3 linked regions of the Macaca fascicularis genome follow. The protein of the gene in region 3 interacts with the protein of the main gene of each other region in a biochemical or structural test. Links are inferred from orthologs where the notes say so. Each region holds a gene or a part of one and is shown on either strand. Other genes may lie near its edges. The genes, in order: calpain-2 catalytic subunit, PRKN and ATXN3.

Region 1 (8,284 bases), on a different chromosome or scaffold from region 3:
AAGTCTGAGCTTTGAGTTTTAAAGAATGAAGAAGACATGCCAGATAAGAGGAATGGTGTAAGAGAACTAAGTTAAGAAAGACCACAAACATGGGTAGAGGGGAGTATTTATTATTTATATTCTCTACAGCAAAGAAATGGTGAGTGGACTCTCCCTACTGCATCTGTGCATTAAAACATCGTATCTAGGTCAAGCGCAGTGGCTCATACCTGTAATTCCAGCACTTTGGGAGGCTGATGCTGGAGGATCGTTTGATCCTAGGAGTTTGAAGTTTCAATGAGCTAGGATCATACCACTGCAGTCCAGCCTGGGTGTTCTAAAAAGAACAAAACCAAAAACTGTATCTAAAATCCAGGATGGGGCAGTACTACTCAAAGTGTGGTCTGGGGACAGCAGCCCCAACATGGCCTGGGGGCTTGTTAGAAATGCACATTCATAGACCCCACCGCAGGCCTACCTAATGCACTGCTGTCCTGCGCTGTGCTCATCCAGCTCCCATGGGGGGCCAATAACTATGCTCTGGTTGTGTGTCCACAGGATGCAGAGATCTCTGCCTTTGAGCTGCAGACCATCCTGAGAAGGGTTCTAGCAAAGCGTGAGTATCTCCTCATTGCAAAACCTCATCCTGCTCTTTCCCCTGTGGATGGGAAGGAACATGAAAATCTTTCTTCCTCCATGTCCGGCTGCTGTGACTAAACCACCACCCTCCATCCCCTCCAAGAAGTGGATGAAGGATCTGTATGATGTGATAAAAAAAGAACAAGTGTTTCTAGCATCCACAGATCAAAGATCAAATCCACATTTCCACTACATACTTACTAGCTTTGTGTGATCAATTTTTTTATTTTATTTATTTATTTATTTGTTTATTTATTGAGACAGAGTCTTGCTCTGTCACCCAGGCTGGAGTGCAGTGGCGCAATCTCAGCTCACTGCAATCTCTACCTCCCAAATTCAAGTGATTCTCCTGCCTCAGCCTCTGAAGTAGCTGGAATCACAGGCATGTGCCACCACAGCCAGCTGACTTTTGTATTTTTGGTAGAGATGGGGTTTCACCATATTGGCCAGGCTGGTCTCGAACTCCTGACCTCAAGTGATCCACCAGCCTTGGCCTCCCACAGTGCTGGGATTATAGGCATGCACCACCACACCCGGCTAACTTTTGTATTTTCCTAGAGGCGGGGTTTCTCCATGTTGGCCAGGCTGGTCTTGAACTCCTGGCCTCAAGTGATCCGCCTGCCTCAGCCTCCCAAAGTGCTGGGATTACAGGTGTGAGCCACCACGCCTGGCCACATCTTGTAACTATTTCTTTTTTTTTTTTTTTTTTTTTTTTTTTTTTGAGACAGAGTCTCGCTTAGTCGCCCAGGCTGGAGTGCAGTGGCGCGATCTCGGCTCACTGCAAGCTCCGCCTCCCGGGTTCATGCCATTCTCCTGCCTCAACCTCCCGAGTAGCTGGGACTACAGGCGCCCGCCGCCTCGCCCGGCTAATTTCTTGCATTTTTAGTAGAGACGGGGTTTCACAGTGTTAGCCAGGATGGTCTCGATCTCCTGACCTTGTGATCCGCCCGCCTCGGCCTCCCAAAGTGCTGGGATTACAGGCGTGAGCCACCGCGCCCGGCCTCTTGTAACTATTTCTTAAGCAAAAAAATGTCAGAGGATTGATCATTCAACCCCCTACTGTGGATCACCAGCAGGGAGGAGCGGGGAAACACAACACAGAGACATTTTTTCCCCTCAAATTAGCACAATAATCATGCTGCATTTGATAAGAGAGCAATTGGCAATCCAGGAAGCAGAGTTTTGTACATATCAGAAGCTAGGAATCTGCATCAGAGACAAATGTAATCATGGTCGTTTGCTGCATACCAGCCCTAGGGATCATCTCGAGAAGCCTCATGGACTTCAGGGGACATCATTCCCTCTCATAAGATGGCCTCTAGCCTAACTCCATGAGATAAAATAAATCTGCCTTTCAGAGCCAAAGAAGAGTCCAGGGCCAGCTGGGTCTTCCCTCCCAGTGTGAACCAAGAGGGTTGGGCCAGCCAGGCTACAGTCAGTCCAGTGCAGGGCCTCCCCAGAGGGGCCCCGGTCTCTATCCGCCCTCTAATTTTCAGGGAAGGCAAGAAGACTGTGTTTACCCTGGAGACCACCAGGCACAAGTGAGGTCACAGAGCTCTTCAGATATGCAATCCTCATGAGCTGAGGAGACGAAAGCCTCATTGTTTCTGCACAGATGGAGGGTGGGGCTGGGAGGTGGGGAAGAAGCGGGCCTTGCCTGGATGCAGCCCACTCCTTGCTCCGGGAGCAGCATTCACTCCGCACATGCCTCTGAGCTTAATACCCTAGCCCTAGCCACCTGGTGACTCCAGCCTTCTGGAGGGCTCAACGCCAGAGTCTGCATGCGTGGCCGTTGGGCCAGAGCCTCATGACCATCTAAGAAGGGGTTGGTGCCCAGAGTGGCAGCTTTGAGGCAGGTCAGGCTCTAACCTCTTTCAAGGACATGACAAAAAAGCTGGACTTTTCGTGAAGTCTGTGGGGAGCCAGATTCACATTGGTGACTAGGGTCTCATGCCACCTGCCAACACCAAGTGGATAGGACTCCCTTAGTGCAGCATGATGGCTTGTGGAGAGATCCCAGGGCTTCAGGTTTCTCAGTCAGCTGGGGACACAGTCCATAAATGTCTGCAGATGGACAGTTCAAGTAAACCTCTTTCTCTCACGGGTCATAGCCTATAATTAACACACCTCCTCTCTGTTTTCTTTTTCCCTGCCCAACAACTACAGGTGACTTTATATCCAGTGGGCACCTAAGGCCAAGCCATTGATCATTCTGTTATTTATTTGTTCAAAAAGCACTTTTTAAAGCCCTGTTTGCCCATGGCAAATATACAGAGACATCAGGACAATGTGGACATCGTCTGCACTGTCCCAATCTGGTAGTCACTGGCCATGTGTGGCTATTTATATAATGGAAGTGGCTTCTGTATGGGAATGGGCACAGATAAAGAATATCTCCATGATTGTGGAAAGTTCAACTGGACATCACCGCTTAGAGATTTTTCCTGTCACACTGATTTTGTCTTTTAGGCCAAGATATCAAGTCAGATGGCTTCAGCATTGAGACGTGCAAAATTATGGTTGACATGCTAGATGTATCCTTTAATGTGCTCCAGAGAATAGAGACTAGGGGAGTTTAAAATCTCACTCCAGAAAAATTCAAACACATGGCCTTCTCCCCTTTCAAAATGGCCAGTTGTTCCCAACTTGCTGAGTTGCTGTCGGACAGTCAGCAGCACTGACCTCCCTTACTAGGGAAATTCGAGAATCTTCTGATGAGGGAAAGCAAATGCTACACCTCCCCCCAACACCTACCCTGAAAGGCTTAGAATGCAGGCCCACGGCCTGGCGCCATGACTCACGCCTGTAATCCCAGCACTTTGGGAGGCCAGGGTGGCCAGATCACGAGGTCAGGAGTTCGAGACCAGCCTGTCCAACCTGGTGAAACCCCATCTCTGCTAAAAATACAAAAATTAGCTAGGCGTGGTGGCATGTGCCTGTAATCCCAGCTACTTGGGAGGCTGAGGCGGGAGAATCACTTGAACCTGGGAGGCAGAAGTTGCAGTGAGCCAAGATCGCGCCACTGCACTCCAGCCTGGGCGACAGAGTGAGACTCGTCTCAAAAAAAAAAAAAGAAAGAAAAAAAAAAGAAAAAGAATGTAGGCCCACCAGTCCATTCCTGGGGCTGGTGCAGGAAGTTCCTGACAATATGCCCATCACTTCTTTGCACAAAGCAGCTCGAATTTGTTTCCTCAGTGATGTGTTTCCATTACTTCCTCTAGGAAAATATTCCCTAACCACAGTATTTCTGATGTGAATCTGTTTTGTCTGATCAAGATCGTCTTCTTGATTTAGATAAGAGCTACTTTCATAAGCATCCTACTTCCCTTTTGCTCTAGCTCCTTCCCAGACAACCCGCCTGTCCCCAAGGCAAATTAGTCATCCATTTGCCCCTTGTTTCCAATGCTTAGTGAGAAGTGGTGGTAAGGGGCAGCCTGAGCTTCTGTGAAGTTTTTTCTGTGTGTTTGTTTGCTTGTTTAGTTGGTTGGTAGGTTGGTTTTTTTGAAACAGGGTCTCACTCTGTCACCCAGGCTGGAGTGCAGTGGCATGATCTCAGCTCACTCCAACCTCCGCCTCTCAGGTTCAGGTGATTCTTCCCCCTCAGCCTCCCCAGTAGCTAGGACTACAGGTGCATGCCACCACACCCAGCTAATTTTTCTCTTTTTAGTAGAGTTGGGGTTTCACCACGTTGGCGAGGCTGGTCTCAAATTCCTGACCACAGGTGATCAGCCACCTCGACCTCCCAAAGTGCTGGGATTACAGGTGTAAGCCACCATGCCTGGCCACTTCTGTGAAGTTTTATTTAGTGGATTCACGGTGTGCACCTGCTAGCTGCCTTCACCAAAGGCCTCTTAGATATACTCCACATACTCTAAAAAAAGAGCAAGGGCTTAGCCACTAGAAGCCATCCAAAGCCCTCTGCATGTCATCCAATAGCTCATTTTTAGTGGTATCTGGGGCCTCCACAGCACCTCCAGATCAAAACAGCAACCAGAATCGGCAGGGAGCCAGCAAGTCGTTCTCGCCCTTCCTCCAATCCTTTAAACGGAGGTTTAGCCAGTGGGAAAAGCAGGAAAAGGATCCTTCTGCAAACCCTCCCTGTGCGTGTGCTATGATATTCAAAAGATCCAGTTGAGAAGACAAACTAGGTGACACTATGCCCAAATGGACCCACACTCAAGGGCTTTCCTTGACTGAAGGCAGTCAGACGGGAGTGGCAAGCTGGGGCTGAAGGAGTTCTACATTCTCTGGACGAAGATTCAAAAATACCAAGTAAGATCCCAGAGGTGCGGGTGGATCTGTGTTGGGGAACATTCTGTGTGTATGCTTTAAGATGCAGCAACTCCTCCACAGAGTGGAGAAACATTTCCGAGGGGATTGGCATTTTACCCATAATGAAGCTCAGAGTGAGTAAAGACCGGGTTGAGGAAATGCAAACAAAAAACCAACCAGGATTTTGCGGGTGAAGTGGCCTGTTCCCTTCCTCCCGATTATTGGGATCATCTAAAGGCCGCCATCAAGGGTTTCCTGCAAAGGGTTTTTGACAGCTAAAGTACAAAAATTATATATAAGACAAGAACATGGGCCTATGGGCATTGGCTGGCTGACTTGATGGGCATATTTACAAACCAGCTCACAGACAGAAGCAAAATACTGTTAGTTATTCAAGGCAGAAACATGGGTGATTCTTCCAAGGCCAAACTAGAGGCACAGAGCTGGAAAAACTTCATCTCCACTCAGCACATACTAGGGAGGTAACTCGCCAGCTTTGCTTTGGGTCATAGTTCTTACAACTAATTTATGTGTTCCAGAAAATTTACCGGGAAATCGACGTTGACAGGTCTGGTACCATGAATTCCTATGAAATGCGGAAAGCGTTAGAAGAAGCAGGTAACCCTTTATAATTGCATTTTCATTCCTAGTTTAATCTGGCTGTAGAATATGTGAACACTCATCCTATACCATATAATACAAGGTTTGGTAAAGCTATAAAATAAAGTAGGTGCTGTTTTAATACAAACACCTCCTTTTCATTCCCCTTTTAAAGACTAATTGGTAAAATTAAATGCAGTAGGATGCTCTGCCCTCTGTGCCTTCTTGAATCCAAGTTTCCTTCAGAGTCCCCTGGCACAGCAAGCAGACAAAGCCAGTTCTCAACAGACTCCTCCAGGTGCCTCCTTTCTGGTGCAGGGTTGGTTAGGCAGAAATGGAATGTTTCAGCTCAGCCCTTAGGGTAAGACCCTAGCAGAATTGGATATCAATAAAAGGACACAAGCTAGTGGTAGACCAGCAGAGTGGGAGACTGCTGGGCTTTGGGAACAAATGCGACAGCATGAGGCTGTACATTCTATTTGCTGGAATATAATGCTGCCGCAGAGACCCCACACAACAGTGGTTTAAACGAGGTACGTCTTTCTGTCGCATGGCAATCCCAGCTCCAGCGGTCCACAGCTAGGATGGTGTCTCCTACTCTCCTACTGTGTGATCACTCTTCCCCCAGTCTCCCCCCATCCATGATGCCCACCGGTCCTTCGAGGCTTGCCCTCATCCGAGGGACCTGGGATGGCGTGCCACCACAAACACATGCCGCCAACAGGTTGACAGCAAAAGGCTCCTCGCCTTTAAGGGCACACAGGCCATTTCTGCTCACACATCCTACCAGCCAGACTGTGATCGCAAGGCCTCTGTTGGCTGCAAGGAAGCTGGCACATGCAGTCTTGAAGCTAGGTGGCCACAGGACCAATAGAAATTATTTTACTCTGGAAAGAGGGAGAACTACCATGAGTTTACCAGGAACAGCTTCTGCTCACATATATCCAGGAAGAATCTGGTCTCCAAGACCATTCAGAGCTAAACAAAAAATCAAAAAGCAGCAGCATGGTTAACAACATGAAGCAACCATGACCATGAGAACAAGAAAAGACTTACGTGTCATTAAAGACACAGGCAGGGTGAAGGTGGACAGTCCAGAAACAAAAGAAACAGCAGACGGTACTGGCTTTGCAAAATCAAACCAGTCTCATAGAAGAGCGGCCAAGGGACAAAAGCAATTATACCTCATTTAAATCACCACTTGGTTCCATAGCCTGTGAGTGCAGCTAAATGGTACAGTCTAATGCTTAGCAATCAGTTTGTTTGTTCATGTAACTTCAGGTTTCAAGATGCCCTGTCAACTCCACCAAGTCATCGTTGCTCGGTTTGCAGATGACCAGCTCATCATCGATTTTGATAATTTTGTTCGGTGTTTGGTTCGGCTGGAAACGCTATTCAGTAAGTGGATATTTGGGGAAAGACTCATTTCAGTTATCTTGGTATTAAAGTGGCCTGCCTTTCACCTTGGTGAAATCATCTAAACTAGAGACATGTCTTCCAGGAGTTGAGAATGAACTTCCCTCTTTACTAATTTGAGAGTGAGGAAGAAAGCGTGTATGGCGGTCAGTGAAGTCAGTTGCTGAAATGAGAAAAGGCTAATGTAATCTCTGTTTCAGCTCACTCACTCGTGACATCCTTTTTTCTCCCTCCACAGAGATATTTAAGCAGCTGGATCCCGAGAATACTGGAACAATAGAGCTCGACCTTATCTCTGTGAGTCAGCAGCTCATACCCCCACCTTGCTTCTAAGGGGATGGGGGAGGCATGGGGCGGAAAGGGCTATTACCTGAGTGACCTGCTTTTTCAAGTTTTGCTTTAAAGAGCTCTTGGTCTGTCGGGGCCAGGCCTGTACACAGCTGTAAGATCCCACAATGCACTTTTATTTGCAATTGTTTTCCAACTACCTATTCTCAAGTCCAAAATGCATGCCTGGCTCCCTCTTCCCATGAGCTTTGACTTGAGTGTAGCTCAAGGTTAAACTAAGGAGTGGCTGCAGGATGATGCTTAGAAAAATGAACTCTTGATTAGTATGCAAGGGAGAACATGCTTATATAAAGAAATTCTTTGGATGAAATTCAAGTTGGGTTTTGGGAAGATCCATCATTCTTAGAATGGATCTACTTAAAATACTTTGTGAGCAAATTAGTTTTCTCTACTCCCTCCCCATTTAAGATAAAACCAACACTAGTAAATACGTTTGCCATTTATTATTATTATTGCACTCATGTGTCTGGAACCCTAGCAATGCACATCTCTGAAATGATCATCAATCTAAATTAAGTGGGTATGCTAATTTCACAAAAAGCAAAGCGCAAAATGTTCTCTTATCATCCCAGTGACAGGAAGTTCTCTCACTGAAAGAAAGAAGCCAGGTGAGGTATACTTCCATTATCACCTGGCTCCAGTCAGCATTTCCTCTATACTCAGGGAAGGCCACAGAGGGCCGGGTGAAGTGGCCGACAATGGGTGAGAATGGTAGTTGTCAGTCCTGTCTGTATAACAGAGGAGTGAAGTAGTGAGGAGGGCAGGTCTAAGGCACTGGCAGCTCTTTTCCGTGGATTTTGAACTCTGGAAGAAGCCAGCAACTAAATAACTGTCTTGTTCTGCTATTATGCATTATATAAGCACCTTTAGCAAAGTGGAAATATAGTTTATCTGGTTACGAATCACACTAACTTGCTTAAAACTTTACATATCCTAGGGAATATCTCTATCCCTAGATTGCAATGTAGAGTCAACCTCGTCTCTAAAAAAATAAAAAATTAGGCTGGGCGCAGTGGCTCACACCCATAAT
Region 2 (8,284 bases), on a different chromosome or scaffold from region 3:
AGTACGTAGACAGGAATTGTCTCAGGCTTCTGTGGTTGGCTCGGTGTGTTCACCTCTCACCAACCTGCCTCTGTTCTCCCACCCAGCATCCGATTGTTGCATGAGAACAACACGTAGGATCCATAATTGTAAGACTGGAAAATCGTAGCGATAGGGCAGAGTTTCTCAGAGTGTAATCAGTAGCAACATTTTGCGGCCTCTACCCCCAGACAAATACATCAGAATTTCTGGTCACAGAAAAGTAATGAAATAAGATTTATTTTTTTTCTTGCCATTCTGGCCATCAAAGAAACATGGAAAAGCATGCAAGATAATTCTGCACATGGCAGTCTGTGACTCTCTGCTCTAGTAACTTTACGCTATAATTTTTAGTGAAGAAAAATAATCATATAGGCATACTGTTTGCATATAGTCATTTCAAATCATTCCAAAGTCGTAACTCAAACCAAGAATGAACCAAGACATTTGAAGAGATGAAGTCTCATTTTCTCTGTATAATCTTAAATAAAGCATTCGTTCTAAAAGCTAAATGCACAGGAATTCTGATGAATGACTTACTATGTTTACAATTTTAAGGAATTTAGTAAACATGTCTCACCACTCTTCTAAGAGATTTTGAGGAAAACTACAGTTAACTGGACAAAAACTCCATCCTCAAAGAGATTCAAAGGCGAAGTCGGAACTGGAGTACAAACTAGCAAGTAACAAGGGAGAGTCCTAAGGGTTCTGAAAAGGATTCCTTCCGGTTCTAATGAGTAGGAGAGGATTACTTGTAGTTTAGTTGTTAGTTTAACACAGAGTTAAATCTGAAAGTTGACCTGGGATAAGCCATGTCTCTTTTCCCAATCCTTTACAGATGCAATATAACTACACAGAGGCCTTTCAGTAGCAGTATGTAGGGTACCAGGAAGTCACCCCCAGTCTGTAGTGGTGCAGGGAGAAGTGTATTAGGAGGGCACCCCTGCAGCCCCCAGCTGCACCATGTAGAGTTGCCTAAGCCAGTCCCTAGCCTGCAAAATGCACAAAGCTGGCAGACCACAAGACAGAGGGGTAAATGAGAAACATGGTGATCAGAGGTAAGATGTGACTCAGACATGGGTGGAAAGTAAAGGTGAAACAGCATGTCATCATAGGCCACACAGTACTCTGAAAGCTGCTGTCATTTACCGCATTCCACACATTTACTAGAATTTATTGTCTATTGTTTGGGTGGAAATAATTACACATTTCAATTTAAAAATAAAGAGAATATTATACATTTAGCAGAATTTTCTCAGTGCCTACTGGTACTTCAGACCCTATATAGAGAGAATACTATATTTTCTTAACAAAAAATTATGGTCTAGAGAGAAAGACAAAAAAAGTCAATTGAAAATGTCAATAATTCTAAGTTCATTCTCATAAAAGAAAATTCTGGAGAAGACCAAGGACAATTTTATGATAAAACAAAATAAGAAGAGTCAGATAAATATGTTTGATAAGATAGTAGAGACAGATGCACTAGGAAATGGATTAACGAATGTGAATATGTACAGAATATGATTATTGTGCTAAAATTGTTTTTAATATTCAGTAATAGGTAAAGGTTTAATTTTGTTCTAAACAATGTGATTTTTTTATTTTTAGTAAGAATTTTATTTTGGGAAATCAAAGAACTAGTAGATAGGTCTACTAACATAATAAATCCAATCTGTTACACAGTTGGTACCACTTTTGGTTTCAGCCCTACATTGGGGGACTTGAAACATATTGCCTATTGATGGGGAGGGATGACCGTACATGTTAGACATCCAGAAAAAATGCATAAATCTCAAAGAGGTGGTCTAAAATTCAGGCTTGGATACTATCTTCTACGGCAAAGGAAGAAAGGGAGAGGAGAAGACAAGAGTAAGGTTTGTTACGCAGATTATTAAGTTGGTGGCTTCTCAAGAATCAGAGTCTCCAGAGACTCTGTCCTTCTCATCCTAGTAAGGAGAGGGAGACACCCTTACAAATGGAGATTTCCTTGGTAGATATAAATTTCCCTTACAAAAGGGTGACTTCCGCTCTGTTTTTAGAGCTTGTCCTATGTCTACTGTTTCTCAAAATAATCAGCTCAAAATAATACTTATGCTAACATGGCATATTTTGGGGTGGTATATTCTGGTCTCATACACCCTCAAGGTGGAATTTTCCCTTGTTTGGTTTATAATGTTGGAGCACTGAGTATCCTTTAGTAGGGCTTGTTTTTCTCTAGAGGTGTCAATGTCAGAATGATCTTCTACATACTCTGGTTGAAACATCAGAATTGTGAGGAGCTTGGGTTTGATATTTATATTAATTTATCATATCCTGGATCACAAGGGCATTGCAGGGGTTTAGATTTATTTCATTTTTCCCCATTTTTGACATTTGTTTCCATTTCTCAGTTTTTCTTTCCAGACCTGAGGTGCCCAGCTCACATGAAGCAGAGCCTCTTTCCCTCCCACAGTCATCTCAAGATCACCAGAGCATCAGCTAATGCCTTACTTTCTGGGTTTATCTACTCCTGTATTTAAAGATGTTGCTTCTACATTTTCACTTGTCCTTGAAAATTATCTTTTTTTTTATTTTTTGCAAGCTCATTGAAAATTTTTAATTCCTTAAATTTTATTTAGTAATTTTAGTGGGAGGCATTTCTTATTACGTCAGGCTTCCATCTTGCAGGTCCCAGAACTTTCTGACACTGTGAAGGCCATACCAGCCCACAACTGCCAGGATCTATTGTATGTGGGAGGAAAATCAACTTCTACCCTGTAAAGTCATTGTGATTATTTTGTGTATTCTGTCAGACACAGTAAAAATTAATTCTATTACACCTTTGACTATTTAGAGAATAAAAGACTAAGAGACACATATTAATATTTTAAAAATAACTAAACAATAACCATCTTTTCCAAAGAAAAGCATTTTGAAATGGGTGGTAGAACAGAGAAGGAAGAATCCTTTCACACTAAGGATGTCATTGCCATTGGAATATGTGGCTTGAGAAACTACAAATGGCTCGATTAGCTTTCAAAATCTTTCTACTTTTTAGAATTTTTCTACATCACTAGAAACATATCTCTTCTATTTAATCTCAATGTGAAAACCTGTTTCATAGTACTTATAATAAGTGCATTCTCAAATTTTACATCAAAGTACTCCACCTACAGTGATGTCTCCTTGGAGTGAATTACAGACTCAAATCCAAAACGTATCGACACTAAATATGCACCTGGTGAGGCCATGCTCCATGGAGACTGCACTAAACAAACAAACAGAATGCTCTAATACTCTTAGGGCATTCCAATTACCTGGACTGCCAGCTGGTGGTGAGTCATTCCTGCTGTCAGTGTGCAGAATGACAGCCAGTCCCACAGAGTCTCCTGGGAGGACTGAGCTGCTGAGGTCCACCCGAGTCAAGCTCTGGGGCTCCCGCTCACAGCCTCCCGCCGTGTTTCTGGCGTTGTCGCCTCCAGTTGCATTCATTTCTTGACCTTTTCTCCGTGGTCTCTGAACAATGTGAACGATGCTCTGCTGATCCAGGTCACAGTTCTGTTTGGGAGCAAGGTGGAAAAAAAACAAGGAAATGGCAAACATGAAATGCCAGATAGAGTTTAACTTGTCCTCAGTGTTAGAAGGGAAGGGAAAGTGACATGTAATTGACCAGCTTAGGCACATGTTTGGCCACAGCACTTACACACTACACATGGTAGACAAACAACACTGAACTGGGGCCAGAAACAGAAATTTGGGGATACGTGAAACACAACAGAACGCTGAAGTCATATTCAAAAGGACATGAAATCTACCAGGAAAAAAAAAATTACCAAAGTGGATCTATAAGCACAGTGAAAACAATAATTCTTTTTTTATTTTTTCCCCGAGATGGAGTCTCACTCTGTCATCCAGGCTGGAGTGCAGTGGTGCCATCTCAGCTCATTGCAACCTCCACCTCCCGGGTTCAAGCAATTCTTCTGCCTCAGCCTCCCGAGTAGCTGGGATTACAGGCGGGTGCCACCACGCCTGGCTACTAAAAATATTCTTAAATAATAAAACTGATTGACATCAGAATTGATATGTCATTCTTTTCTTTTTTATAAAAGTACAGAAAGTTATTATCAATTAGAGGGCATTTCCGTACAGCATTGGAAATGAATGTGTTTGAGTAGACTCCACACACACCCCTCCACGGGCACCAGAACACACATCGTTACACCAGTGGGGAAGCAAGGCAGGAGCACACTCCTGCCACCCACGGTTCATTCTCTCTCGGTCGATTTAACTATGAAAATCAGCAAACATTTACAAAAAGGTTTTGCATCTATATATTGACACGTAGGAACAGAAGAAGACTTTAACATTTTCTAGCATAAAAATTAAAAGTCAGATTATTTGCCAGGACAAGAACTAGGCTACCCTAAATGGAATTCTAGTTTCAGAATATCTACTACATAGGGCCGCCCGCGGTGGCTCAGGCCTCTAATCCCGCACTTTGAGAGGCCGAGGTGAGTGGATCGCCTGAGGTCAGGAGTTCGAGAAGAGCTTGACCAACGTGGTGAAATCCCGTCTCTACTGCAAATACATTAGCCGGGCGTGGTGCTGTGTGCCTGTAGTCCCAGCTACTTAGGAGGCTGAGGCAGGAGAATCACTTGAATGCCCACCCCCATCCCCCCACCAAAAAAAAAAAAAAAAAAAGAATATCTACTACATAGAAGCAGTTACTGATCTGCTTGCTACCCTCTTAAGACACAGCAAGGACCTTACTCTCTCAGCAAATCGATGTGGCCGGGCACAGTGGCTGACGCCTGTAATCCCTGCACTTCAGGAGGCTGAGGTGGGCGGATCACTTGAGGCCAGAAGTTTGTGACCAGCCAGGGAAACATGGTGAAACCTCGTCTCTACCAAAAATACAAAAAAATTAGCCAGCTCTGGTGGCATGGGCCTGTAATCCCAGCTACTTAGGAGGCTGAAGCAACATAATTGCTTGAGCCTGGGAGGCGGAGGTTGCAGCGAGCCGAGATCATGCCACTGCACTCCAGCCTGGGCAACAGAGCAAGACTCCATCTCAAAAAATATAAAGCAAAATAAAATAAAAATTAAAATGAATCAATGCCTTTCAAATACCTCTTGCCATTCTCATTTTAGGAATGCTCCCAGGACACTCAAATGAAATGCATCCATAACTAACAGCAGTAAATGATGCCCTCCCCTGCTGCTTTCTCAAGCTCTTCTGTTGCCTTCACCATCAATGTCCCTCGAACAGTGATGCCCAGCACTCACCAACAATCTGACCACAAATACAACGGCTGGAGTCTGGCTCCTCCATCCAGTACGGCACCAGGACACCCTTTGTCCTTAAATCCCATTCAGACCTCTTCTCTACTCTCACACCCTGGGGCTCCATCTCATCCCCAGGCCCTGTGCCCCTCCCGATCCCCATTCTCAGAGCTCCCAGCCTCTCCCCAGGACTGTTCCTACTCAGCAGGGGCCACTGTTCATCATTCTCTGACTTGAAGTCCTCCCCTGCATGATTTCCCTGGTTCTGTCAGGAAAAACCATCCCCCACATCACCCACTTCGAGCCTTCCCCTTCCACCTGAAAGTCTCATTATCCTCCCATGTTTTGTAATGGGCTGCAAGAGAATCACTATCTTGAATTTCACCTACCTAATCTTTGATATCGGCAAGGCACCAACAGTTAGCAATTCTGTCTCAGAATTACCCTTCACATCTTCAACTCCTTTATATCTCAATATTCACCTCCCCATTTTAGGCCTCCCTCACGATTACTCCTTTTACATCCAATATAGCCATACTCCAGTCCAATATGTACAAGAATTCTGGGTGTGTGTGTGCTACATAATCTTTCTAAAGTGTCTCAGTATTACTTGTAAAATGGACTGTAACATCTCCCATGTTCTTCGAGTGTATTTGTACTTTTTTCCTTTCTAGATCATGATCTAGATTTGATTTTTTATCTTCCTTACCCCTCCTATATTATATGTGTGGCAGATTAAACTATTCTTCAAAATTATGCACGCCCGTACATTAGTGTGCATACATCATGCTCCCCACTTCCTCTCCCAGTGATTGTGCCCAGCCACTTGAATGTCTTTGGCCAAAGGGACATTAGCAGATGTAATTGGAACCAGGGCTTTGTATTTGTCCCGCTGCTAAGGTCCATCAAAAGAACATCCCTGCTGGGCACAGTAGCTCACACCTGTAATCCAAGCACTTTGGGAGGCAGAGGCGGGTGGATCACTTGAGGTCAGGAGTTCAAGGCCAGCCTGGCCAACATGGTGAAACCCCACCTTTACTAAAAACACAAAAATTAGCTGGCTATGGTGGCGTGTGCCTGTAATCCCAGCTACTCAGGAGGCTGAAGCAGGAGAATCACTTAAACCCAGGAGGCAAAGGTTGCAGTAACCCGAGATCCCGCCACTGCACTGCACTGCATGGAGCGAGACTCCGTCGCAAAAAACAGAACCTCCGAGAAAGCTTCCACCTGTTCACACATGGCCCACACCTGAGTCCAACCCACAGAGGTGACCAAGTGCAGCCATAGTCACAGTATAAAGCAGGGACCTGTAGCTGAAGCCAGCCTGAGGCCATGGGCACCCCCACTGACCTGCAGGCACATGAGAAAGATGGCATGCTTTTATGGCACTGAGATTTGTGCTTGACTTTTGAGCAATAATGGCAGACAGTCCTCGATTTTCCATTCTACTTGGACAAGGTATCACTGTCTATGATCAGCTCCATGTCAGGTAGCACTCCTCTAGCTACACACAGCCTCTAGCCTAAGTCATTTCAAAGAAACTGGCATCAGGATCCGAGTATGCTCAAGGACCTGAGCTTTGCCACAGAAGGAAGAGTGGAGAATTAGCACCCTAGCCTATCCTGAGGTTTCTATCCACATTGTGTCCCTTCCTTTCCATGTTCAGGACTCAGGTACTTCCTGTGATCCTCCTAGAGAAAAGTAACAACTTTCTCCCTCATCTGAATCTAAAAATCTTTGCTTACTGTGCTCTTCTTATTGCAGTGGTTAGAGCTTGGACAGTATGTGTGTGTGTGTGTGTGTGTGTGTGTGTGTGTGTGTGTGTGTGTGTGTGTGTGTGTGTGTGTGTGTGTGTGTGTCTGAGTCTTATCTTCCAACTTATTTTAGAAATACTTGAGACCAACAACTTGGTCATACTAATATTTATCTATCACACAGTGCTTTGAAGCCAGGAGATGTAGAAACATATTTATGAATTTAAAAAGTTTGAAAAAGTGAATGACTGAAGGGAAGTAAGAAAGAATGAAGGAGTGAATGAATGAATGAATATAAACAGTCATGAGCTCAGTGTCCAAAGTGCCACAGAGGGAATCAGCAGAACAAGAAAGAAAGAACATAGAATTTGGACTCAAATTCTATGTCCTTTTCTATGTCAAGTCAAATGGACTTTTCTATGTCAAGTCAAATGGATTCAAGCTCTACATAATTCATTAGCTGTACGAATTTCGGCAAATGATTCTTCCTTCTCCAGCTTTCTGCCATTGACAATATATATCAACTTTGAAGGCTGTTTTGAAGATTCAAGGAAATGTAAAGAGCTCAGATCCCGATCCGCAATGATACATCGTTGGTAGTATTGTTACCATTTATGAGTTTTAGAAAACTAAAGAGGATGGCTCCCTAATCTTGTACATACATAAGGCCTCAGAATTCTGTTTAGCTGCTCACTTACACAATTCTGTTTGGAAAATATACAGAGAAGGCAGAATGAGAAGGAGCTATCAACGTGACAGTCCTACTGGTAGCATTCCAGCTTTCTGTGAACTAAAAATTGATACCAAAAAAAAAAAAAATCCTATATCATCATATAGCCAGATGCCATGAAACACAAGAAGAACCTGAGTGAATTTTCAGGGATGGCTGAAATGTGACAAATGTTGATGAAATCTAAAAGATTTCAAATCCAGATTTTCCTAATGCTTAGGGTAGAGCTGCAAAGGGGAAATGAAAGTCCTCAAACAGATTTCAGTAGTTACAGTGATCCTAATAGGACACATTTCCCTCAGTTGCCATCCCTGTTTCTGAGATCATTAATTGCTTAATCTTTGACTCTCATAGAAAATCTTGCTGGTCCCAGAAGCGGTGCCTTTGACAGATGGCGTACTCACACACCATGCTGGTTCAGTTCAAAGCCACATTCCATGGACAATACATTGGATGCAGTCCAGTTGTACAGCCACGCAACAGCCCCAAATACTATTTAGCTCTCCTAGTATACAAAACA
Region 3 (8,284 bases):
TGGCACACGCCTGTAATCCCAGAACTTTGGGAGGCCGAGGTGGGCAGATTGCCTGAGCTCAGGAGTTCGAAACCAGCCTGGGTAACATGGTGAAACCCCATCTCTACAAAAAACACGAAAATTAGCCGGGCATGGTGGCACTTGTCTGTGATCCCAGCTACTTGGGAGGCTGAAGGAGAAGAATCGCTTAAACTCAGAGGGCGGAGGTTGCAGTGAGCTGAGATTGTGCCACTACACGCCAGCCTGGGTGACAGAGTGAGATTTCGTCTCAAAAAAGGAAAAAGAAAGTCTGAAATAAACATGATGAAAGTATCACATGGGAATTATTCTGGAAAGCAATTTAGAAATCTGTACCAAGGTCTTAAAAATATTCATACCCTTTAACCCAGTAATCTGACATCCTCAGAAAAAAGAAGAAATGATGAGACATTTGAGGCATAGAGGCAATATAAGAATTGTTCATTGCAGTATTAATTATAATAGCATAATTCAAAAGGCACATATATAAATTATGCCACATCCATTCATTTTATGAAATATCATGCAGCCTGTTACAAAGACTATTTACTGTCATAGGAAATGAGTACAACACTTACAAGGTAAGTGTGTATAAGTCACAGAAAGAGAATGTGCCAAAATACTAACATCAGTTACTAAAGGAGGTGACGGTTTTTTTTTTTTTTTTTGAGACAGAGCCTCGCTCTGTCGCCCAGGCTGGAGCGCAGTAGCGCCATCTCTGCTCAATGCAAGCTCCGCCTCCTGGGTTCACGCCATTCTCCTGCCTCAGCCTCCCAAGTAGCTGGGACTACAGGCGCCTGCCATCACACCCAGCTAATTTTTTTTGTATTTTTTAGTAGAGAGACGGGGTTTCACTGTGTTAGCCAGGATGGTCTCCATCTCCTGACCTTGTGATCTGCCTGCCTTGGCCTCCCAAAGTGCTGGGATTGCAGGAGTGAGCTACCGCACCCGCCCCCTTTTTTACTTTTTGAGACAGAGTCTCGCTCTGTCACCCAGGATAGAGTGCAGTGGCACAATCTCAGCTCACTGTAACCTCCACCTCTGGGTTCAAACAATTCTCCTGCCTCAGCCTCCAAAGTAGCTGCAATTACAGGTGTGCGCCGCCATGCCCGACTAATTTTTTTGTATTTTTAGGAGAGACGGGCTTTCGCCATGTTGGCCAGGCTGGTATTGAACTCGTGGCCTCAAATGATCTGCTTGCCTCAGCCTCCAAAAGTGCTGGGATTACAGACATGAGCCACTACACCTGGCCATGTATGCTTTCTTTTAATTTTGCTATTTCTTTTTTTTTGTTTGTTTTTTTGAGATAGAGTTTCACTCTGTCATCCAGGCTGGAGTGCAGTGGGGTGATCTCAGCTCACTGCAACCTCCACCTCCTGGGTTCAAGAGATTCTCCTGTTTCAGCCTCCTGAGTAGCTGGGATTACAGGGGCTCGCCATCATGCCCAGCTAATTTTTGTATTTTTAGTGGTGACGGTGTTTCGCCACATTGGCCAGGCTGGTCTTGAACTCCTGACCCTTCTGACCTCAGGTGATCTGCTCGCCTCAGCCTCCCAAAGTGCTGGGATTAGAGGTGTGAGCCATCGTGCCCGGCCAATTTAGATATTTCTTAAAATAAAATTTCCAGAATATTAGTTTTTCTAATTAAGTAGATTTAAGTTATTTTTTTATTATTTATTTATTTATTTGAGACAGAGTTTCACTCTTTTTGCCAAGGCTAGAGTGCAGTGGCAAGACCTCAGCTCACCACAACCTCTGTCTCCCTGATTCTCCTGCCTCAGCCTCCCAACTAGCTGGAATTACAGGCATGCGCCACCACGCCCAGCTATTTTTTTGTGTTTTTAGTAGAGATGGGGTTTCTCCATGTTGGTCAGGCTGGTCTTGAACTCCTGACCTCAGGTGATTCGCCCGCCTCCGCCTCCCAAAGTGCTGGGATTACAGGTGTGAGCCACCGCACCTGGCCTTAGATTTAAGTTATTTTTTACATTAACTAGATAATTGGTGATATAGAATTACAATTAATTATCATGATTATTTTATGACAATAGCATTTAACTATGTTAAAAAAAGTTCATATATTTTAGAGACATATATTAAAATGGTTATAGAACAAATGATATGATGATTGAGATTTGTTACAAAATAATCCAAACTTGTAGGTGGGACAGTGGAAAGAATGGGAGATGGGAGTATTATAAAACGAGACTGGGCCAGGTGCAGTGGCTCATGCCTGTAATCCCAGCACTTTGGGAGACCGAGGCAGGTGGATCACTTGAGGTCAGGAGTTTAAGACCAGCCTGGGCAACATGGTGAAACCCTGTGTCTACTAAAAATATAAGAATTAGCTGGGCATGGTGGTGTGCACCTGTAATCCCAGCTACATGGGAGGCTGAAGTGGGAGAATTGCCTGAACCCAGGAGGCAGAGGTTGCAGTGAGCAGAAATTGTGCCAATGCACTCCAGCCTGGGCAACAGAGCAAGACTCCACCTCAAAAAAAAAAAAAAAAAAAAAGGCAGGATTGGCCGTGTGCTAGTATTTGTTGAATCTGGGTGATAAACAAGAGTTCATTATGCTAGTTTTTCTACTTTTGTATAAATTTGGAGTTTAATAAAAAAGTTAATTTTGAAACTTAAAAGTAAAAAGCACTAATAAGCACTACTTTGAAATGTAACATATAATTAGCCATTAATCTATGCTGAATAAAGACTAGAAATATCTCACATTAAGAGGATGTCAGCTGATCAGAATTTTCCTTCATCTACTTCTGAGTTGTGACTTAAAAACAAAACAGAAAAAAAGGTAAATATTTTCTTCATTATACCATCAAATGTAAAATGAGCCAATATTTTTAGGTGCTGCTAATATACTGTCAATTATGATTGTAAGATACTTCTCAATTTCAGAGACATTGAAATGTGAAACTATGTGCATCTTAGAATGGATGAAATACAGCAATGGCAGGTCAGATTCAGCTATGAGTCTTTTGTTTTCTGACCTAGGATCAGCGGGTCTGATTATTTATCTTGTAATTTTTAACATGGAGTTTTTCTTTTTTTTTTTTTGAGACGAGGTCTCGCTCTTGTCCCCAGGCTGGAGTGCAGTGGCACAATCTCAGCTCACTGCAACTTCTGCGTCCCGGATTCAAGCGATTCTCCTGCCTCAGCCTCCCGAGTAGCTGGGATTATAGACACCCACCACCACGCCCAGCTAATTTTTGTTTTGTTTTGTTTTTTTTAAGACGGAGTTTCACTCTTGTTGCCCAGGCTGGAGAGCAATGGCGCGATCTCAGCTCACCACAACTTCCGCCTCCCGGGTTCAAGCGATTCTCCTGCCTCCCAAAAACTCACTCCCAAAGACCCGCCTTGGCCTCCCAAAATGGTGGGATTACAGGCATAAGCCACTGTGCCCAGCCTTTTATTTTTCTTTTTTTAAAAAAGTGGGGGACAAAAGTCTGAATGATAGTTACTTGAAAAGAATGTATTTTCATACAGTGGAATTCCTATTTCATACAATGGTGGGATTACAGGCGTAAGCCACTGCACCCAGCCTTTTCTTCTTCTTTTTTTAAAAAAGTGGGGGACAAAAGTCTGAATAATAGTTACTTGAAAAGAATGTATTTTCATACAGTGGAATTCCTATTTAGCAAGCACTTACAAGGCTGGGCACAAGGTAAAGTTTTAGGAGTTGATCCAGATTTATGGTTTGCATCCATTCTCCTGATGCTAACAGGCCTACAGGACCCCCTGCAGCAGCCATGAGCAGCTAAATGAACTACCCATGTCTATTTGGGAATGTGCTCCCATACCTCAAAAGCTGTTTTTCTTACTGATTGGTAGAGAAATTTTGCAGGGTTAATCAGGTAAGCAAGAAGCACATCCAAAGGATCAATAGGTATTCTTCTTGCCTTGTCCTAATTTCATTTTTCTTTTAATAAATGAAATTGTACAAGGTTTCCTTCACTCAGTTTCAAAAATTTATCCAGTATTGAGGCAAACTTTTTCATTAAAACTACATTTTGCTTCATGTTATTTGCTGTAAATTTTTATTTTTATTTATATATACACACATATATTTTTGGAGACAGTCTCACTGTATCAACCAGTCTGGAGTGCAGTGGTGCGATCTCGGCTCACTGCAACCTCCACCTGCTAGGTTCAAGCAATTCTCCTGGCTGAGCCTCCCAAGCAGCTGGGACTACAGCGCACACTGCCACGCCCGGCTAATTTTTTTGTATTTTTTAGTAGAGATGGAGTTTTACTGTGTTGCCTGGGCTGGTCTCGAACTCCTGACCTCAGGCAATCTGCCCACCTTGGCCTCCCAAAGTGCTAGGATCACAGGCGTAAGCCACCGTGCCTGTCCTATTTGCTGTAAATTTTTTAAATATGCATTCAAATATTCATAGGATTCAGGCAGTAACCATTTACAAACAGACAAAATAGCCAAAGCAAATATTAAACGTGCTACTTTAATTTGTACCAACTACTTTACTTTTCAAAGTAGGCTTCTCGTCTCTTCCGAAGCTCTTCTGAAGTAAGATTTGTACCTGATGTCTGTGGAATATCTTGAGATATATTTCTGGAACTACCTGAAAACAAAACACAACAGAACAAAAACCAATCACTGTATTTACCAATTCAAGCAACAATACATTTGTTTATACTCATTTGAGTAAGCTTTTAAAATGTTTTTTCTTGAAGAATATTCTACTCTTCTGGCTGGGCGTGGTGGCTCACACATGTAATCCCAGCACTGTGGGAGGCCAAGGCAGGTGGATCACCTGAGGTGAGGAGTTCAAGACCAGCCTGGCCAACAGGGCAAAACCATATCTCTACTAAAAGTACAAAAAACTTGCCAGGCATGGTGGTAGGTGCCTGTAGTCCCAGTTACTCAAGAGGCTGAGGCAGGAGAATTGCTTGAACCCGGAAGGCAGAGGTTGCAGTGAGCCAAGATTGTTGCACTCCAGGCTGGGCGACAGTGAGACTCTTAATTCAAAAAACAAAAGAAATCTAAAGCTGATTTCTGTCCCTGCTAATCCAGCAGGACTCTATTAATCAAAAATGGGATTGCACACCATATGGAGTACTCAGAGGTGTGCCTAGAGGCAAGAAAAGTTCAGGATGAAAATAATCTTCCCATTAATGGAATCTCAATTTTATCTGGATATCTAAGGAAATCAATTGATAAATAATTTCATTAGAAAGTAGAAGCAAATACACATAAGTTAGAGAAAAATAAAACAAAAAACCCACTTCAAACTTTTAATTAAGAAACTTCGAGCTATGTCTTAACATTTTTCTTTGCCTAGACTGTATAGGGGATATGTTTTCACTTTTGAAATTGATAGTTTATATCACTAAAAAACTGGGCCCACCAAAGCGGGCTTAAGGTTTAAGTTGCATAGCCAATAAATGTTGGCTTTTTGTATAATCAGTTTATATCCCCTGTCCAGGCCCTTCCATAGTGTCTAATGACATACATTTATGAAAGAGCTGATTTGGGTAAGGGTCAACTGATACCCACAAAGATTAACACCACAATTGACTACTGTGTTAGTACAGGTTATTGAAACCAAATAAATAACCAGGAGTAAAAATATAACTACTCCTAATAAAATATAGGTTGTAAAAAGTTATTTCCATTATAAGAAATCTAAAGGGAAAGCCCACTATATAGCTATTGCTTCTGCAGTAATTGTCAAAACACTTCTAAGAGTACATTAACTTCCAGGAAACCTAAGAATAATTGGAATCAATTCTTCAGCAATGAATACAACACACATCAGAATGTCTTTACCTTGCATACTTAGCTGAATAGCCCTGCGGAGATCTGCTTCCTCATCTTCCATGTCAATTTCTTGGCGACTTAGTGCCAGAGCCCTCTGCAAATCCTCCTCATCTTCATCTAACATTCCTGAGCCATCATTTGCTTCTAACACTCGTTCCAGGTCTGTTTTATGGACTCTAAAGAACAAAAGCACTGGTAGTAACTGCAACCAATCTTCTATTTTAGACATAACATAAAGGCATTTGTAATGTAAAGGCTTTACGTAAGCCAAAACTTAAAACGTTTTCTGGCAAATAAGCTCTAGTAATATAATGATTGTGTTGTAATTTGAATCCAACTAAGTTTTTTTTCTCTGTTTCTTTTTTTGAGACAGGGTCTGACTCTCTTGCCCAGGCTGGAGTGCGGTGGTGTGATTGTGGCTCACTGTAGTCTCGACCTCCCCAGTTTTGGGTGATCCTTCCTCCTCTGCCTCCCAAGTAGCTAGGACTACAGACACGCACCACCACGTCTGGCTAATTTTTGTACTATTTGTAGAGGTGAGGTTTTGCCATGTTGCCCAGGCTGGTCTCAAACTCCTGGGTTGAAGCAATCAGCCTGCCTCAGCCTCCTGAAGTGCTAGGAATACACCATACCTGCTAACTTAGTTAATATATTTAAGTATTTCAAAGAGTTGATTCACGTTCGAACTAATAAACTTCACTAAAATGTAAGGTCCAAAATAGAGGTGCCGACAACACAAGGACCACATATTCAATGTAAGCATGAAAATTTTATTCTCATAATGAAATATCGTCATATGTTCCATACTGCAGGCCTCATTTTTACCTTTGCTCTTTCAGTTGTGCTAATTCTTCTCCAATAAGTTTTGGTCGGTGCATCTGTTGGACCCTGATCATCTGCAGGAGTTGGTCAGCTTCGCAATCTGGCAGGTCACCCTTAACAACAAATATAGAATAACCTAAAACAAAAAGGCAAAAATCAACCTAAACAGCTAGTAAAGAGATTCAAAATTGATGTAAAATGCTAGTAAAGAGGCAGCACAGTACACTGGAAAAAAATACAAGCTGAGGATTCAGAAAGATTTTAGTTCAAATAATGATTCTTATACTTACTAGTAAAGTCATCTAGGATAAGTTACTTAAAATCTCTGAGCCTCACTTTCTCCATTGTAAGACTGGAATAGCCGTCTCACTGAGTGACTGTGCGAAGTAAATGTCTGTAAAGGGCCCTACTAATATAGCACTTGACTGAGCAGGCTACTCACTTACTGGTATGAGAGAGAGTAAAGGAGTCGGTAAGAGCAACTGATTGAGAATCAGACTGCCTGCATCTGATCCCAGTTCTCCCACTTCCTAGCTGCATTTGTCTTGGTTTCTACTGTTAAACATAATGATACTGGTACCTTCCTGTGATGGTTAATATTATCAACTTGATTGGATTGAAGGCTACAAATTATTGTTTCTGGGTGTGTCTGTGAGGGTGTTTCCAAAGGAGATTAACATTTAAGCCAGTGAACTGGGAGAGGCAGACCCACCCTCAATCTGGGTGGTCACCATCTAATCAGCTGCCAGCTCGGCTAGAATAAATCAGGCAGAAATAAGAGTGTGGAAGGACCAGACTTGCTGAGCCTTCACCTTTCTCCCATGCTGGATGCTTCCTGCCCTCAAATATCACACTCCAAGTTCTTCATCTTTTGGACTCTTGAATTTACACCAGTGGTTTGCCAGGGGCTCTTGGGCCTTTGGCCATAGACTGAAGGCTGCACTGTCAGCTTCCCTACTTTTGAGGTTTTGGGACTTGGACAGGCTTCCTGGTTCCTCAGCTTGCAGACAGCCTATTGTGGGACTTCACCTTGTGATCATATGAGTCAATATTCCTTAGTACATTACCCTTCATATATACATCTATCTTATTAGTTCTGTCCCTCTAGAGAACCCTGACTAATACACTCACAGGGCTGTTTCGAGGACACAGTCAGATAATGTGTGCAATAACTAGTAACATGGCTAAAACTAATCATCTGTGGAAAGAGCTACCCTGACCCACACATGTATACCCCTTGTAACTAAAAATAGGAGCTGAGAAGCCAAATACCTAAAAGCTATTTAAGGTGTCAAACGTGTGGTTTGCATCCCAAAAGAATTACATTAGTCTAGTGTGACTGTGTATAAATATGATTCCAGAAATCCAGGGTTTCCCCAAGCTAGATGCTACACACAAAAACTAAGAGTGGGCTATACCTAAAACAATCTAAGTTTTTCTATTATTAATTATTATTATTATTTTTTATTTGAGATGGAGTCTCACTCTGTCACCCAGGCTGAAGTGCAGTGGTGCAATCTCAGCTCATTGCAACCTCTGCCTCCCAGGAGGTTCAAGCGATTCTCCTGCCTCAGCCTCCTGAGTAGCTGGGATTACAGGCGCCCGCCACCACGCCTGGTTAATGTTTGTATTTTTAGGAGAGATGGGGTTTCACCATGTTG

Evidence for each region.
Region 1: of the proteins of ATXN3 (region 3) and calpain-2 catalytic subunit, one has a biochemical effect on the other in vitro, tested with the Homo sapiens proteins (2 studies listed by BioGRID). The link is inferred for Macaca fascicularis from reciprocal best matches to the Homo sapiens genes ATXN3 and CAPN2.
Region 2: the proteins of ATXN3 (region 3) and PRKN form a complex in vitro, tested with the Homo sapiens proteins (4 studies listed by BioGRID and IntAct, with this or other methods). The link is inferred for Macaca fascicularis from reciprocal best matches to the Homo sapiens genes ATXN3 and PRKN.

What each region holds. Positions count from the first base shown.
Region 1 is NC_088375.1:81,725,823-81,734,106, forward strand, and holds part of calpain-2 catalytic subunit, read left to right. Parts: intron 1-537; coding exon 538-595; intron 596-3,087; coding exon 3,088-3,152; intron 3,153-4,821; coding exon 4,822-4,890; intron 4,891-5,429; coding exon 5,430-5,508; intron 5,509-6,771; coding exon 6,772-6,888; intron 6,889-7,144; coding exon 7,145-7,203; intron 7,204-8,284. UniProt on the Homo sapiens protein: Calcium-regulated non-lysosomal thiol-protease which catalyzes limited proteolysis of substrates involved in cytoskeletal remodeling and signal transduction. Proteolytically cleaves MYOC at 'Arg-226'.
Region 2 is NC_088378.1:8,859,931-8,868,214, reverse strand, and holds part of PRKN (E3 ubiquitin-protein ligase parkin), read right to left. Parts: intron 3,556-8,284; coding exon 3,315-3,555; intron 1-3,314. UniProt on the Homo sapiens protein: Functions within a multiprotein E3 ubiquitin ligase complex, catalyzing the covalent attachment of ubiquitin moieties onto substrate proteins. Substrates include SYT11 and VDAC1.
Region 3 is NC_088381.1:160,071,000-160,079,283, forward strand, and holds part of ATXN3 (ataxin-3), read right to left. Parts: intron 6,760-8,284; coding exon 6,627-6,759; intron 5,978-6,626; coding exon 5,811-5,977; intron 4,603-5,810; coding exon 4,506-4,602; intron 2,793-4,505; coding exon of another isoform or gene 2,759-2,792; exon of another isoform or gene 2,739-2,758; intron 1-2,738. UniProt on the Homo sapiens protein: Deubiquitinating enzyme involved in protein homeostasis maintenance, transcription, cytoskeleton regulation, myogenesis and degradation of misfolded chaperone substrates.